4 linked regions of the Cricetulus griseus genome follow. The protein of the gene in region 4 purifies or fractionates together with the protein of the main gene of each other region. This does not show direct contact. Links are inferred from orthologs where the notes say so. Each region holds a gene or a part of one and is shown on either strand. Other genes may lie near its edges.

The links. The genes of interacting proteins can lie anywhere in the genome.
Region 1: the proteins of histone H2A.Z (region 4) and Vps72 purify together in Homo sapiens (affinity purification with mass spectrometry; 4 studies listed by BioGRID and IntAct, with this or other methods). This does not show direct contact. The link is inferred for Cricetulus griseus from reciprocal best matches to the Homo sapiens genes H2AZ1 and VPS72.
Region 2: the proteins of histone H2A.Z (region 4) and Actr6 purify together in Homo sapiens (affinity purification with mass spectrometry; 4 studies listed by BioGRID and IntAct, with this or other methods). This does not show direct contact. The link is inferred for Cricetulus griseus from reciprocal best matches to the Homo sapiens genes H2AZ1 and ACTR6.
Region 3: the proteins of histone H2A.Z (region 4) and Mier1 purify together in Homo sapiens (affinity purification with mass spectrometry; 3 studies listed by BioGRID and IntAct, with this or other methods). This does not show direct contact. The link is inferred for Cricetulus griseus from reciprocal best matches to the Homo sapiens genes H2AZ1 and MIER1.

What each region holds. Positions count from the first base shown.
Region 1 is NW_023276806.1:61,386,909-61,391,017, forward strand, and holds the start of Vps72 (vacuolar protein sorting-associated protein 72 homolog), read right to left. Parts: upstream 2,803-4,109; 5' UTR 2,731-2,802; coding exon 2,614-2,730; intron 1-2,613. UniProt on the Homo sapiens protein: Deposition-and-exchange histone chaperone specific for H2AZ1, specifically chaperones H2AZ1 and deposits it into nucleosomes.
Region 2 is NW_023276806.1:155,885,225-155,889,192, forward strand, and holds the start of Actr6 (actin-related protein 6), read right to left. Parts: upstream 2,803-3,968; 5' UTR 2,737-2,802; coding exon 2,669-2,736; intron 1-2,668. UniProt on the Homo sapiens protein: Required for formation and/or maintenance of proper nucleolar structure and function. Plays a dual role in the regulation of ribosomal DNA (rDNA) transcription.
Region 3 is NC_048595.1:46,601,581-46,604,927, forward strand, and holds part of Mier1 (mesoderm induction early response protein 1), read right to left. Parts: intron 2,774-3,347; coding exon 2,634-2,773; intron 521-2,633; coding exon 192-520; 3' UTR 1-191. UniProt on the Homo sapiens protein: Transcriptional repressor regulating the expression of a number of genes including SP1 target genes. Probably functions through recruitment of HDAC1 a histone deacetylase involved in chromatin silencing.
Region 4 is NW_023276806.1:21,775,361-21,779,390, reverse strand, and holds histone H2A.Z, read left to right. Parts: upstream 1-1,224; 5' UTR 1,225-1,378; coding exon 1,379-1,381; intron 1,382-1,856; coding exon 1,857-1,934; intron 1,935-2,244; coding exon 2,245-2,358; intron 2,359-2,721; coding exon 2,722-2,851; intron 2,852-3,111; coding exon 3,112-3,173; 3' UTR 3,174-3,551; downstream 3,552-4,030. UniProt on the Homo sapiens protein: Variant histone H2A which replaces conventional H2A in a subset of nucleosomes. Nucleosomes wrap and compact DNA into chromatin, limiting DNA accessibility to the cellular machineries which require DNA as a template.

The DNA of each region.
Region 1 (4,109 bases), about 40 Mb from region 4:
AGCCAGAGTTCAATCCAGCACAAGTGACCACCGTTCTTCCTAACTAATGTTTGTGAAAGAGACTCAGAACACATTAACTCAGCTCTACCCTGGTATTAAGCCACATTACCAGAGAGTGGTAGATCAAGTTCCCACTAGTGTGCCCAATCTTAATGTTTTTACTACACTCCGGATTTACTGTCGTAGCACTGGACAAGATCTTTTCCACTCCTTAATACACAACAAGAGGACATTCTACATCTACCAAACCTGTTACTACTTTAGTTGTACTTCATGTAAGGAAATAATGAGACATTCTTCCTAGAAGTTAATGTTAAATAGGTTTGTCTTTCTTGAATATATCATATATTTCAGTCTTAGAAAAGAACGGATTCAGTCTGGCTACCAGGAAGCTCAGAATTATCAAATATTTCCATTTTAGCTAGATTCTTGGCACAAATATTTCTGATTTTTTAAAAATATTTTTATTTAGTCTTTGAAATTTCATACATTAATATATTTTGTTCTGCTCATTTTCTATTTTTATTGTTCCTAATTTTTGTTTCTATTGTAACCTTTCTTAAATCCTTTTTGGAAGCATGAGGTGCACCTATTAAAATAACATCTCATAAAATGACAGGAATAGGAAAATGAACCTTGGAGGAAGAATGAGAGAGATCTATTTTAAACTAGTTTACTAAAGCTGTGTACACAGAGGCTCCTAGTTAGTCATAAAGTCTTGTCTACTTTTTTTTTTTCTTTCAAAAAACTCCCTTCAACTCTCAACACTATCCTATGAGTGACATCCCCAGCCCAGCCCTTGTCCATGTTTCTTTTCTGCCACTGCCCTCTTTAGGCTTATCTCATAGTTATATATATGGCAGAGTCAGGACAGAACTGGAAACACAGCCCATGTGGCTTAGAACTGGTGGTAATACTCCTGTCCCAGCCTCCCGGAAACCACCAGCTAGAGAGTAATCTTTTTAATCACAAATATAACGATGGAACTTTGATGCCTCATCTCAGACCTCTAAATGAGCAGTCAAACTGCTTAATGCTGCTTCATTATGTCCTTCAAAATCTGATTTCGGAGGTGGAGGGGGAATCCAAGGGTAGTGACAAGTACCTGCAATTCCAGGAATCAAGAGTGTGAGGCAGGGGGCTGCCTAGACTTTGAGGCTGGCTAAGTAACCCCATTTTAAAAAAACTACATAAGGCCAGGGGTAGTGGGGCACACCTTTAATCCCAGCACTCGAGAGGTAGAGGCAGGTGGATCTCTGAGTTCCAGGGCTACATGGGAGTGGTACTCCTGGGAGAGGGCACCTAAGAAGGACATGAGAGGCAGAGGCAGGTGGATCTCTGTGAAGCCAGACTGGTCTACATAGTGAGTTCCAAGACAGCTAGGGCTACTACAAAGAGAAACCCTGTCTCTAAAAAACAAAACAAAACCTTCCAAAACAAATCCAGCTCAGGTCTACAACCTCTAGCTATCACAATCTTTACTCTTCCAGAGAACAAAAGACTTGTAGGTGTCACAGTGGGGCTTCGGCGCCTCTACAAACAGACTATTTCATCTTCTTCTCCAACTGAGCCTTTCTCTTCCCTGACTCTTCATCCAACCAACGCCTACTTTTTATATAATATCCTCAGTTTAAATGTTATTTCCCCATGAGTGCCTACCTTTAAACCACTCTGGGGCCTTCAAGATAGCTCAGTGGGTAAAGTAGCTGGCTGTACAATCCTGACCATCCGAGTTTGATTCCTGGGGCTCCTATGATGGATGGAGACTGAATCCCTGCAAGCTGCCCTCTGATCTTCATATGCAAGCACACAAATATAATACAATTAAAAAAAAAAAACAAAACACAAACCTCTCCCGGTTACCACAGTATCTCATGCTTCCTTGACTTTAAGTCTTTATCATGAAGTATCTTAGTTGATTGTGAAACCAGTCAGTTCCTTGCAGGATGGGGCTTCCCTTTTCATTTTTTTGCCAGGGGCTGGTATCCCAGGATCTAGGGCTTACTAGGCAAGTGGTCTACCACTGCGCCACAAACAATAGTCCCAACCTCAGGGCAGTTTTTAATATGTTTCCAAGGAGCTCAGCACAACCCATCATATATGGTACACTGACCTGGGTGCTCCACATATATTTAATCAATGAACAGTTTTTATTAATAAAAAAATTTAGCCAAGAGGCAGCCCTGAACGAAAAAACAAACAAAAAACTGAACTCTAAGCTTACAGACCTTACAAAGCAACCAGAGAATGAAAAGAAGCCAAATTTAATTAGAAACTGAAATTCTGTTTGTATGATAGAAATATAAATGGGGATTCTCTTAGAACGGCCAATAGAGGGTCGGTCATCTAAGAAAACCGTATTATTTGAGAGCTGAAAACGGAGTGTGCTAATGAAGTTTCTGTTTCTGAAGCGGTTCCTCTTCGTAGATAGCCCGACAACAGGACAAGAAAAGGCAGACACACAGACGAAGCCAGGCACTCACAGTGTCACCCAGTCCGGAGCATTGGCTCTCAGAACACCTCTCTCTACTCCCCGCCCCCTTCCTCTTTGTCCAGGGTTTTCCCTTCAAGATTCCGCTTCCTCCCCTCCCTCTTCCTGGGCCCGGCTCTTGCCTCCGTGAAACCCCCGTAAGTCGTCTGGTAGAACTCATCTTCCTCCTCTGCTTCCAGGAGCCCAGAAAGGCGGTTCCCAGCGGTCTTCCGAGGGGCCCGGCCTCCAGCCAAACTCATACCGCCTACAGAGACTGTGCGGCCGCCCGCAACCCCTTGCCCAGTTCGCGTTCTCGGAAATCGGAGCTCGACACTATTTCCTGTGGGCGGCAGCCAATGGCGGAAGCCCGGCGACTACAGGCAAAAGCAACCGAGCATCGAACGCTTCTAAATCTAGCCTCTAAGCCTTCTTCACCAGGCTGTCCTGGCCACTCTTAGGCAGAGCCTAGAAACAGTACCAGGATGTCCCCTCCACACCACCCACCTTTTGTTTGTTTGTTTGTTTTCAGACAGGGTCTCGCTGCATAATTTCTCGCAGGCATGGAACTGTCTGTGTAGTACAGGCCGGTCTCGAACTCATAGAGATCCTCCTGCCTCTGCCTCCTGAGTACTAGATTTAAAACTGTGTGCTAGGCCGGGCGTTGGTGGCGCATGCCTTTAATCCCAGCACTGGGGAGGCAGAGGCAGGAGGATCTCTGTGAGTTCCAGGCCAGCCTGGTCTCCAGAGCGAGTGCCAGGACAGGCTCCAAAGCTACACAGAGAAAGGCTGTGTACTAGGCCCGCAGCAAGCCCTTTTTTCCTCACCACCTCTATTTTAATTCTGTTAGTAGGAGCCTTTCTAAAAATACTGGCCTTTTCATTTCCCTCCTCTAAAATTCCAATGACAGTCAGTCCTAACTCTCACACATTATAGGGCAAGAGAATCACAAATTCAAATCATGCCTAGTTAGTGTAGTAGAATTGTTTCAAAGTTTAAAAAATGAAAAGAAGCCTGGATATAACACAGCGGAGGTATGTTTGTTTAGTTTGCATGCTCCTGGATTCTATCCCTAGCATGCTCAAAAACATTATTTCAATTAAGAAAAAAAAAAAAAAACATGAAGCTGACTGGTGGTGGCGCATGCCTTTAATCCCTTCATTAGGGAGGCAGAGGTAGGTAGGTAGATCTCTGAGTTTGAGGCCAGTCAGGGCTCCAGAAGGAGTTCCAGGACAGTCAGGGTTACACAGAGAAGCCCTTATCTCAAAGAAAACAAGCAAACAGAGAACAGTGCCTTAAAAGCAGGGGTGGGGGCAGACATCCGTAACCCCTAGCACTAGGAGTCCAAGTCAGGACGATGACAATTTGTGGGCAGCCTGGGTTACCATGGGAAGTTCTGGGCCAGCCTCAGTCACATAGAAAGCTTTTGTCTAAAGAAAGAAAACAACATCAACAACCCACAAGCAACTAAGTACCTGGCCTGGTGTTTCATACCTTTTTAATCCTAACACTCAAGAGGCAGAGGCCAGGGCTCTCTGTGAGTTAGAGATCTATGCTTGTTCTACATAGCAAGTTCTAGGCCAGGTAGGGTTACAAAATGTGACCCTGCCTCAAAACAACAATAACAAAATCAAACAGCAGC
Region 2 (3,968 bases), about 130 Mb from region 4:
GTGATGGTGGTGGTGCACGCCTTTAATCCCAGCACTCGGGAGGCAGAGGCAGGTGGATCTCTGTGAGTTTGAGACCAGCCTGATCTACAGAGCGAGTTCCAGTACAGCCAGGGCAACACAGAGAAACCCTGTCCTGGAAAACCACAAAAAAAAATTAAGAACTACTTAAAATTGTTTGCTTTTGTTTTCTTTTGTATGGCAGAGTCTCACAGTCTCCCAACTAGAACTCTATGCTGCCTGGAACTTGATACGTAGACCAAACCAGCCTCAAGCTGCCACCCCAGTGCTAGGATTAAAGGCATTCTCCATGCTGCCAGATACACACAACCTCCATGAGCCCATACTCTAGATAGGAAGACAAATCCCAGCCCAGTATCATATAGCTATGCACACACTCATACACACCCTTATTATTATCAACGTTTTTCTCCCTGTTTAAATGTTCTTGGAAGGCATACTTTTAAGATCAGCATGGGTTGGGTTCAGGGTTATATTGCCTGTCATCCCAGAGGCACCAGAGGCAAGACCATCACTGGAACCAGGAGCTGTAAACTGTCCTGTACAACACAGTGAGATACTGTCTCTTAGAAGAAACCCCTGTGACTCAGTTGTTAAGCACATGTTTGAAGACCTAGGTTTGACCCTAACCCACAACTAAAAGAAGCTGCTCTGCTGCCAACTTCATGGTTGCATTCTAATATTCTTAGCCAATTTGCTATACTTGACTATTTAGCTTGCTTCCTTGTGTACACTTTATTTTGCTAACTGTACAAGTGTCTATAAATAAAGCTTAACATTGCTGTACTTACTCTTCTTTAGTATCTCTAAATAATTCCTGAAATGCTAAGAAAATTATTGTCAAAGTATATGCACAATGATATACACTGATGAACATTTTCAGGAAGAAAGTCACAATTTATAGCCATATCTCAATTTCTTTATTATACAGTAAGATAAAAACAAAAACTATCACATTGAATTGGACAAGAAGACAAACCAACAGAAGGAAAAGAGCCTACGAGAAGACACAAGAATCAGAGACTAATTTATTCATACACTCACAAGTCCCATAAAAACCCTAAACTGGAAGCCATAATATGAATACAGAGGACCTGGCACAGACCTGTGCAGTCACTGGGCATGCTGCCTTGGTCTCTATGAGTTCATGAGTTTTGCTCATGCTGATTTAGTGGGCCTTGTTTTCTTGGTTCTCTTCATCCCCTCTGGCTCTTAAACTTTTTCCACCTCCTCTTCCACAGGGTTCTAAGGGGAGGGATATGATGGCAACATCCCATTGAGGGCTGAGTGTTGCAAGGTCTCTCTCACTCTCTGTGTAATGTCTGGCTGTGGGTCTTGATTTCTACCTTAACAAGGTATTAGGTAGCCAGGAGTCATGCCTATAACTCCAGCACCCAGGAGGGTGAGACAGGAGGATTGTCATGAGTTTGAAGCTAGCCTAGGCTACCGTGTGAGACCTTGTCTCACTAAAGAAATACACCGGGGAGGAAGCTGTAGTTCAGCAGGACAGCACTTGCCTCAAATTTGCTAGGCTCTTGGTTCATTCTCTAGCATATTAAAAACACAACAAAACAAAAAGAATCCCTTTCTATGCGTGTACTATTTACATGCATCTGTTTGTTTATGTGTATGGCTATTTTTCCTGGATGTGGATCCCCTACTACTGGAGTTACAGATAATTGTTAGAGTCCATGTAGGTGCTGGGAACTGAACGTAGGTCCTGTAGAAGAGCAGAAAGGGCTCTTAACCACTGAGCCATCATTTCTCCAGCCCCATGTATCTGGTTCTCACTGTAAACAAAACAAACCCCCCAAAACAATCCAACAAAAACCCAACATATATAGAAGCCTTATTTTAATAAATGTCTTCATCAGTGTTTGCTCACCATACGAGGGTTCAACACCTAGCTTTAGAAAAAAAGAAAGAAAAAAAGAATTCAGTCAAATGCCCACTAAGGCCTGAAGTGGTGGCCCTCAGCTGTAATCCTAGCACCCAGGAGGTGGAGGCAGGAGGATCTGAAGTTTAAGGTCATCCTGAATTACACCTAGTGCTACAGCGCAGCTGAGGTTGTGGCTCTGTGGTACAGTATGCGAGGCACGGGTTTGAGTTCTAGCATCGAGAAACGTCTATTATTTATGCAAACATACATTTTATGCAACACATGCTGAGATGCCACTGTAGTGTTCCTGATTTTACCAACCAAGTCATTCAAATTGATTGCCCCAAAGCCTTCAAACTCCCTGGATTCTAATGCTGTTGGTTTTACAATTTTGGCGGTTGGGTGGCACTGAACCTTTTGGGGATCCGATGGAAACCCTACAATTACGCTTATCCAAAGGCGAGTATGCCCAAAACGCTATCCACTATTTCTGAAATGTCATGAACTCTGAGATCTTTGGCTCCCTCAATCTCGAGAAACCTATTTCCTGTTACCAAACAAAACATACATTCCACTTCCGGAGTCCCAAACGAAAGTCAAAATCACTTTCAGTTCAGAATATCAAACCCACCAACCCAGCTCCAAATGGGGCACCCCTCGGCTCGGGCTGGGGCAGCGCGAGGGCGTCTGCGGATCACTCAAGTCGGAAAGCGCAGCCTGTGAAGACACGAGGCTTTCAGGTCCTGTCCCTCGGGGACGACGGGCACTTACGAGACATTGTCATGGCTGTAACCGATTTTGGCGTTGTAGGCTCCGTTATCCAGAACTAAGGTCGTCATTTCAGCAGCCACCAACGCCACGGTCGTGCGGGTACTACCCACTTGGGTCTCCTCTGCTCAGGCTTCTTCCGGTACTCTATGGTTTGTAGAGGCGGAGCCGAGCGTAACTTCCGGTTACTCTGGCAACGGAGTACGCCGGAAGTCAGGCAGCGAAGCGGCGTTTCTTGTCCCCCGGAGCATCCAGTTCTCTAACTTACTCTTTTTAGGGAGCGAGGACTTTCAGTACTAGAAACTACTAAATACCTTTTCTCCCTTTAGTTATCTTTCCTTATTGCGCACATTGGCGAATGAAAGCTTTTTGTAACCTCTGTGGTTGACTGCGTGTGCGTGCCTGTGCGTGTTTTGTTGAGACACTTCTATTCTTGAAGAGTACAAAACCATACGCAGCGTGGGGTCTCTCCAGTCTCACCTTTATTTCTTGGCGTTTGTCATCAGGTTGTAGGATTTGATCACAATAAATAATGTATTTGCTGTTTAGTTATCGGCCTTTTTTTTCTTTTTCTACTCACATTCGCGTTCCCCAACTAATCCCTTTATGTGTCCTATCTGCAAAAGACATCTGACATGCTCCCTCTCAGTTCTGATTCCTGGAATTAGATGTCCTTCCTGCGTGTTTCTGTAAAACGGAGGGCTGGTGTTTCATAATTTTAAGAGAATTTTGGAGCCGGGCATGGTGGCACACGCCTTTAATCCCAACACTGGAGGCAGAGGCTAGTGGATCTCTGAGAGCTCAAAACCAGCCTCGACTACATAGAGATTTCCAGGGCAGCCAGAGATGCATAACAGAGAGAGAGACCCTGTCTCAAAAAAAGGGGGGGGGGAGGAAGGAAGGAAGGAAGAAAAAAAAAGAAAAGAAAAGAAAGTTGGATTGGAATTCAGACTCTGGTACAAAATGGCTAAATAATTTTGGGTAATGACTGATAAAAGGAAAGCACAACCTACTGTTCCAGTTTATTTACACATATTAACTAGTCTTCAGGAGATAAATAGCTAAGAGTATAGCCAATAAATTCAAACTGTGACTATGACATTAAATGTTTAAGCAACTTAATCAAGTCTTGGGTTATCTCAAGTATAAAATAAAGCAATATGAGTCCCTCTATATTACATAATTGTTTGATGTTAGTGTTAGTCAAGTACCTGTCAAGAGATGCTGTTACCATCTTTTCCATTTAATACTTATTTTGAGGTAGGGTTTAATGTAGCCCTGGCTGGCTTCAATTTTACTATAT
Region 3 (3,347 bases), on a different chromosome or scaffold from region 4:
AACAATTTGAAGTAAAAGAACTTGCAAAAGGTGGAATTATGAATCCCATTTCTTAAAGTTAGAACTCAATTCAAATGTCAAGATTTAACCAACTGCTGCAAAGAAATCAGCTTTCTAAAGGTCACCCACCAACCCTGAAAATTGTAGTCACACCAGAATTTACTGCAAAGAAAGTAACAAAGGCCTAGGACTTAGTCGTTTATGTTTTCGTGTTCCTCAAATTTTCCATGCGAGACTGCTTCCTGGAAAAATTCAGACGAACCCGGACTTTCTTTCCCATTGCTGTTTATCCGTCGCCTTTTGGCAGGTCTCTCATTTTTTTCATCAAAATCATTTTCATTTCTTGCAGTCATATGGGCAAGTTTTGGGTCGGTGGTCACGTTATCTGCTTCATAACCATTAGTGTCCATATCTGTATGAAGTGGCTTCTTATTTCCACCTGTTGGTCCATTAACATGTAAGCCTTCAACTTTTACTTCTTCTTTGTTTAGTATTTCACCTGGTCCATTAGATGACACACCTACATTCAGAGAAAGATAGATAAAACTTAATACAAAAAGCTTAACTATTATAAAAATAGCTGCTACAACATGAGTTTTCATCAAAGGACAAGCAAAGTATCAAATGTGAACATACTCATGGTGAAGCGTGGCTGCACCACTTATCAGCTGATACTACCCAAGTCTTCATAGACTACACCTCAGTTTCCTTACATACCATGAGACACAAAGCAAGTATATGTTAGGTGATGTGAAGACCAACTAAAGCAATGGATTTTAAGAACAAAGATCAGAATCTGAAATATATTAAAAGCATACTGGGGGCTGGAACGATGGCTCAGTGGTTAAGAATGCTTGATGCTGTTATAGGAGAACCTGGGTTCAGTTCCCAGAATCGACATGGAGGCTCACAGCCACCTACAACCCTAGTCTCAGGGTATCTAACATCCTCTCCCAGCCTCCTCAGGTCTCACACACATGGTACACAGGCATACATGCACACAAAGCATACATACACATTAAATAAAATATTCAAAGAATCCTAAGTATTACTATGTAGGAACATACTGACATTGTTCCCATAGGAGGTAGGATCTGAAAGTGGTCTGATACTACCCTGCGAAGTAAAATTATTTTAGTTAGAACAAGCAGCAGAATGACCATGGAACACAATTTTGGTAATACAAAGCCCACTTAGCACACATGACTGGAGATAATTAAATCTTAACTATGTGAAAAATATTCGACATGAAAGGATGGGTCTCAAAGATTACATTTTGGTAAAAGAAAATACTCAATTTTTCCCAGTTCTTATATATATCATATAACACTAAAGAAATAATTCTGTTACCTAGTCTAAAAAGCTAGGTTAAGCTGATTTAAAAAAATAACTGTAATATAAAAGAAATAAAGCTAAAAAATTAAAACAATATGTATATAAAATTAAGCTCAAAAAAGAGTTCTAACTTTCTTTGGAAAACCTGAAAATCTTGATCATACTTACCTGATGTCTTCTGAGCTAAATAACATTTTTTATTCATTTGTGAAAATTATCTTGCCCTAATAGTGCTTTCTCATCAAAACGCTAAAAAAGGAAAGGGTTTCCTTGGTGTTAAGATGTTAAGAACAGACAAAAGGACTGACATTCTTCTCAACTTGCTGAGCACCACCTCAGTTCCATGTTCCAGTCACACTGCACCTTACATCTCTATAAAGGAAGGGGCAGCACACTGCAGAACACCAACCTAACAAGACCCATGCATGGCTGCTGAGACCCACATCCTATCTGGCTGGTTTATTCTTCAAGGGAGAAGAACAGAAAAGAATGGTGAAATGAACTAAGTAATACATATGCAACTCAGTGAAAGTTTGAGGTCAAAGCTTTGGCAATTTCTCTTCTATGTTCTCCATGACACTGGCCAGTTTTAAAGTTTTAAACTCCAGTTTCTTCCATACTGGGATGCTGCACAATCATGCTTGCTATTTTCTTACTTGGGACAATTAAAGTAGAAATCAAAACAATTCTTGGAACAGCTCTTACAGATGGCCCTTCAAACACTCTGAATGAAGAACACTGTCGTGTGTGTGTGTGTGTGTGTGTGTGTGTGTGTGTGTGTGTGTGTGTGTGTGTCTGTGTGTACACACACAAATGGTTCTGCAAAACACCTATGCTCAGGCTGAGAGCTGCTTTACATGTGCTCATTTTTCAAGGTTATTATGTAAAGTCAAATATTCAAATTTCACTTATTACCTAACTTTTTGCCTTTTATTATAGCTCATGTTAAAGGTTCTCAAACTATTTGAAAAATAAATATTTCTGATGCAATGTGTCTGGATTTGTCTAAAAGTTAAAGCAGTATTCACATTTAGGTATTATTCCATTCAGGTAAGGAGATGCTACTGAACACAAATTTATTGAAATCAACAGTCCCTGTGTAGCTTGCTTCATGAATTTCAGTTTATGATGCCACTATAAACTCTTTCCAATTACTCTATGGTGTGTGTTTGGATGTATGTGTGCTAATGTTTCATGTTATTTACATTTTTCAGCCTCCAGAGTTTAATGTAAATTTCCTTGAGCCACTCCAAGTGTCCTTCACTATGAAGAACTAGGTGTATTTCCTGGTTTCTTACCATTTTGATTACTATTGCTGATAGTGCCATCTTCTTTCTCCGATTGACTGTTACTACTATTTGAGGCAGTAGGAGGAGGGGATGGTGCTCGGCTAGAAGCAGCACTTTCACTCTCATCCAAAAGACGATCCATGTAATCCCTTAAGATTAAGTTAAATAACAATTAATTCCTTAAATAAGATGGTGAAGATTAAAATTAGCTGAAGTTAAATATACATTCCACTATTAACACATACGTCCTGACTCTTACTTACTTTCATGAAAATGCCTTACTATTTGTACCAAGTTCGAAACAGACTTTGGAAGCTTCTTCTGGCTATGTATTTGTAGGGAGATGCATGAAGATGCTAAGCTAAGGAAAATATGAAGTCCACGGGAAACTTTAAAATGTACAGAAGGGCTCAAAATGGCTCAACTGAAACCAAAGTGTATATAAAAAGGTGAGCATGATGTCATCTGGGGTACATGATTTCTGAACAGATACAGACTAGTTTTAGGATTCCTAAAGACAACACTCGAAGGTGCAACGTCCTAACACAAAGGGTGATCCCTGCCAGTCACCATACAGTCAGCTTTCTGCCAGATCTGTATCATAATGGGTTAAGTCCTGGCATAATTGTTGGTCACCTATTAGCTGTAAGCAGGTTTATTTATAACATCATTACTACTTCCTGAGCTATAGTTGAGGATAACTGACATCTGGCTGGGGTTAGA
Region 4 (4,030 bases):
AACCCATGTACAGGTGGAGAGAGGGAGAGCCCACTCCACAGGTTGTCATCTGATTTCCACAAAGTCTTCATGGCATGTGCACCTGCAACCACCCACACAATAATTTTTCTTATTTAAAGAGTTAAACATTAAGTACTGTAAATATGAAAGATTTAGATCATTATGGTCTCCAAGCAGCTAAGTGATGTACACAGGGATTGTCGACCTGCTAACTGCACGTCTAAGTGACTGGCATCAGGACAGGACCGTGTGTACGTACAGTCCTACTTTTTCTTTTTTAAGCCCGGCATTTGTAATTGATTACATGAACCATCTGTGGCTGCTTGTGAATCATGTTACAGTTACCCCACTGACATTTACCCAACATTTTTCATGTGGCAAAATGTTTAGTGTCGGAAAGCTGACACATAATAGCTTTGATGATTCAATAAATCAACTTTAGACACCAGGCTATAGGCGCATCCCCATTGATGTGGAGTCTCTCTCGGCAAAATTATGGCTGATGATTTCATTATAATAACGCTTCATCCTGAGCTTCCTGTGTGTAGACAAAATTATTTGTTATCACCAAGGTAACTTGACCCCCACGGTTGTTACGAGACAGGATGGGAGGGTGAGGGGGGCGGTCAAAAGAGGTGAGGACCGGAGCGGAGGAAGATGAAAAACAACCTCCGGCGGGGGTAAGAGACGGTCTCTCAGGGAAGTGCTTCAGCAAGTGCGGGCCGAGCCGAGCTCCTCTCACTGGAGGCCTTCGCGCCACCTGTCACAAAGGAGGGGCCCGCGGGGAACCGAGGTCTGCGGGGAGGGGGGGGGGACGGCCAGGCCGACCGGAGGACGCTGCGAGGCCCAGGCTGGACCGGGAGGCGAGCTCACGTGGTCTCCCGCACACCGCGGGAGGACGCCCGCGCGCCCGTCCCCAGCCTCTCAGCCCCGCCCTCCAGGCACGTGACCCCGCGTCCGCTCTCGCGCTCGCCCGCGCTCCCTCCTCGGTGGCGCAGGGCTCTGTGTCTGCCCTCCCGCCGCGGCGCCCTTCCCCTCCCGGTCCCGTCCCGCCGCCTCCCCCACTCTTCCCCCTCCCCACCCCTCGCGCGCCAATCACGGCTCGAGCTCGCGAGCGCCCGCCCCACCACCCTGCTTCGCGCCCTCCCATTGGCCGGAGCCTCAAGGACGCGTCCCGAAGGCGGGCGGCGACCATTGGTGGGCCGAGCCAGCCGAGTTCCCGGATGAGGGAACATTCTGCGGTATAAAGGGCGCGAGGAAGGCGGGAGACGGCGCAGTTTGAATCGCGGTACGACGGAGGAGTGGGCGCCGGGATCTCGCTGTGCGTCCGCCTGGCCTCGTCTCTTGCTCGCTTGTGCGATCTTCAGCACGGTCCGAGATGGTAACGTGAGAGTGACGGCGGGCCGCCGGGCGGGGGGCGGCGGCGGCCGCGAGCTGCGGGCTTGGAGCGGGCGGGGCCGCCGTCGCCGGGGCTTGGGCGAGGCGGCGGCGGCGGGCGGGAGCGTGCGGAGACGGGTCGGGGACGAGCGGAGGGAGGTGTTTGGTTGAGCTCGGAGCTCCGGGAGGGAGGCGACGGTTGGAGGGGGGCGCGCGCGGCGCAGCTGGGAGCCGGCGCGGGGCGCGCGCGGGGCGCGCGGCGGGGGTCGGCGGGCGGGCGGGGAGAGAGGGCGGGGGCGAGCGGCGGCCCGGAGACCCCGGCGGGCCGCGAGCGCGCGCCCGCCGCCCGCCCGCCCGCCTGCTCGCTCGCCCGCCTCCGGGACGCGCGGCCGTGGGGGAGGGGCGCGCCGCTCCGCGCCGCCTTGGTAATTCTATCCTCTCCGTCCCTCCCGGGCTCGCGGGCGTCGGCGGCGCCGCAGGCTGGCGGTAAGGCTGGAAAGGACTCCGGAAAGGCCAAGACAAAGGCGGTTTCCCGCTCGCAGAGAGCCGGCTTGCAGGTAGGCAGCTGCTGCCGCAGACGCAGCCCGGGTGACCCGGCCTTTATCTTTGCACCCCCTGGCTTGTTTGTCGGCGCCTCGCATGGGTGTTCCATCTTTTGCGTGGGTGATGTGTCGCGACTTGGCCTTCGGAGACTGAATGTTGGGGCGGCGGGGGCTGGTGGGGGGGGCGTCGATCGCGTGTGCTAACTGCCCGGGCGCCTTGGTGCACCACCGTCCTTGGCTTTGGCGCGCGCGCGCATCATCTTTCCATCTCTGAATCTCCTCTATCTTTGTGCATTTTTGTTTGTGTGCATAAAAAAAAATCAAGTTCCCTGTGGGCCGTATTCATCGACACCTGAAATCTAGGACAACCAGCCACGGCCGTGTGGGCGCGACCGCCGCTGTGTATAGCGCAGCCATCCTGGAGTACCTCACCGCAGAGGTAAGCGGGAGTGAGTATGCCTGTGATCTGGAAAAGGTTTGGGGGGCGGGGGGGGGAAAGTGGGCGAGAGGGAAGGAGGAAAGTGATGCAAGAAAACTCCCAGGCCCTAAGCGCGGCGCTTAGGCAGAGAGAGGGCGCTAGAGGGAGCTAGTGTTCAGCCAAGGATCCCGCTGAGCCAGAGTTTGCTGCTGTTGCAAAAGCAATTGCGTGCCCCTTCAGTCCTTTGCATCATTTGCATAGTTTTGTCATTCAGGTAGTGGGGGGATGACGACAGTTGGTGGGTTAAACACCACTGACGTTTAGCCAGCTTCCTGGATCTTGACTGAAGGGAATTGGAAAATTGATCAGAATTTTGCCTTTTAGGTACTAGAATTGGCAGGAAATGCATCAAAAGACTTAAAGGTAAAGCGTATTACCCCTCGTCACTTGCAACTTGCTATTCGCGGGGATGAAGAATTGGACTCTCTGATCAAGGCTACAATTGCTGGTGGTGGTATGTTATCACTGACACTCGGTTACTTTCCAATAAGAAAATTCCTACATTTTCATTGCTTCCAGAAGAGGGCATTTAAATATATTTTATAAATCATGGTGGTTTATGGAATTTGGTTTACACAACATCATTCATCATTTTACTTTATGTTTGAATTTTTTTTTAAGACCTTTCAAGTTGTAGATTTACCTGCTTTGATTTCATGTACTGTTTCAAAATGTTTCTACAAAAAGTAGAATTAATCCTTGTCACTTTCCTAGGTGTCATCCCACACATCCACAAATCTCTGATTGGAAAGAAAGGACAACAGAAGACTGTCTAAGGATGCCTGGATTCCTTATTATCTCAGGACTCTAAATATTCTTAACAGCTGTCCAGTGTCGGTGATTCCAGTGGACTGTATCTCTGTGAAAAACACAATTTTGCCTTTTTGTAATTCTATTTGAGCAAGTTGGAGGCTTAATTAGCCTTCCAGCCAACCAAATTTCTGCATTCGAGTCTTAACCATATTTAAGTGTTACTGTGGCTTCAAAGAAGCTATTGATTCTGAAGTAGTGGGTTTTGATTGAGTTGACTGTTTTTAAAAAACTGTTTGGATTTTAATTGTGATGCAGAAGTTATAGTAACAAACATTTGGTTTTGTACAGACATTATTTCCACTCTGGTGGATAAGCTCAATAAAGGTCATATCCCAAACTAGTTTTAAACTTGCTTGATGATTACTACTAGATCTCATTCAGCTCCCCTACCTTCTTTGCTTACTAATCAAACACTTCATCTGTAGACCAACAAGTCATAACCAATTTGTCATAATGAACTAGGCATGCTGTTGGACATTCACAGTAACTGTGAAAGGCACTGTATCACAATTTGGGACAGCTGGACCGGTAGAGACCCCCAGGTATAACATAATAACCTCCACAGAATGAACTTAAGATGTAGAAGTTAAATCATTCTCAGTGACCAGACACTGTTGTCAACTGTGAAATGCTAGTCACAGGGGATGCGTGCTATTTTCATAGACTAGGGTAACATGATGAAAACATTGATACATATCAGGCATGTTCCTTAAGAGCTTGAGAAAACGCATCTGCCCCTTTCACCCTACCGAGACAACATGCGTGCTCCTTTCTGAGGCAAAAATTGGTAACAGGAGGTGGTATGCATGCAACCTCTGCA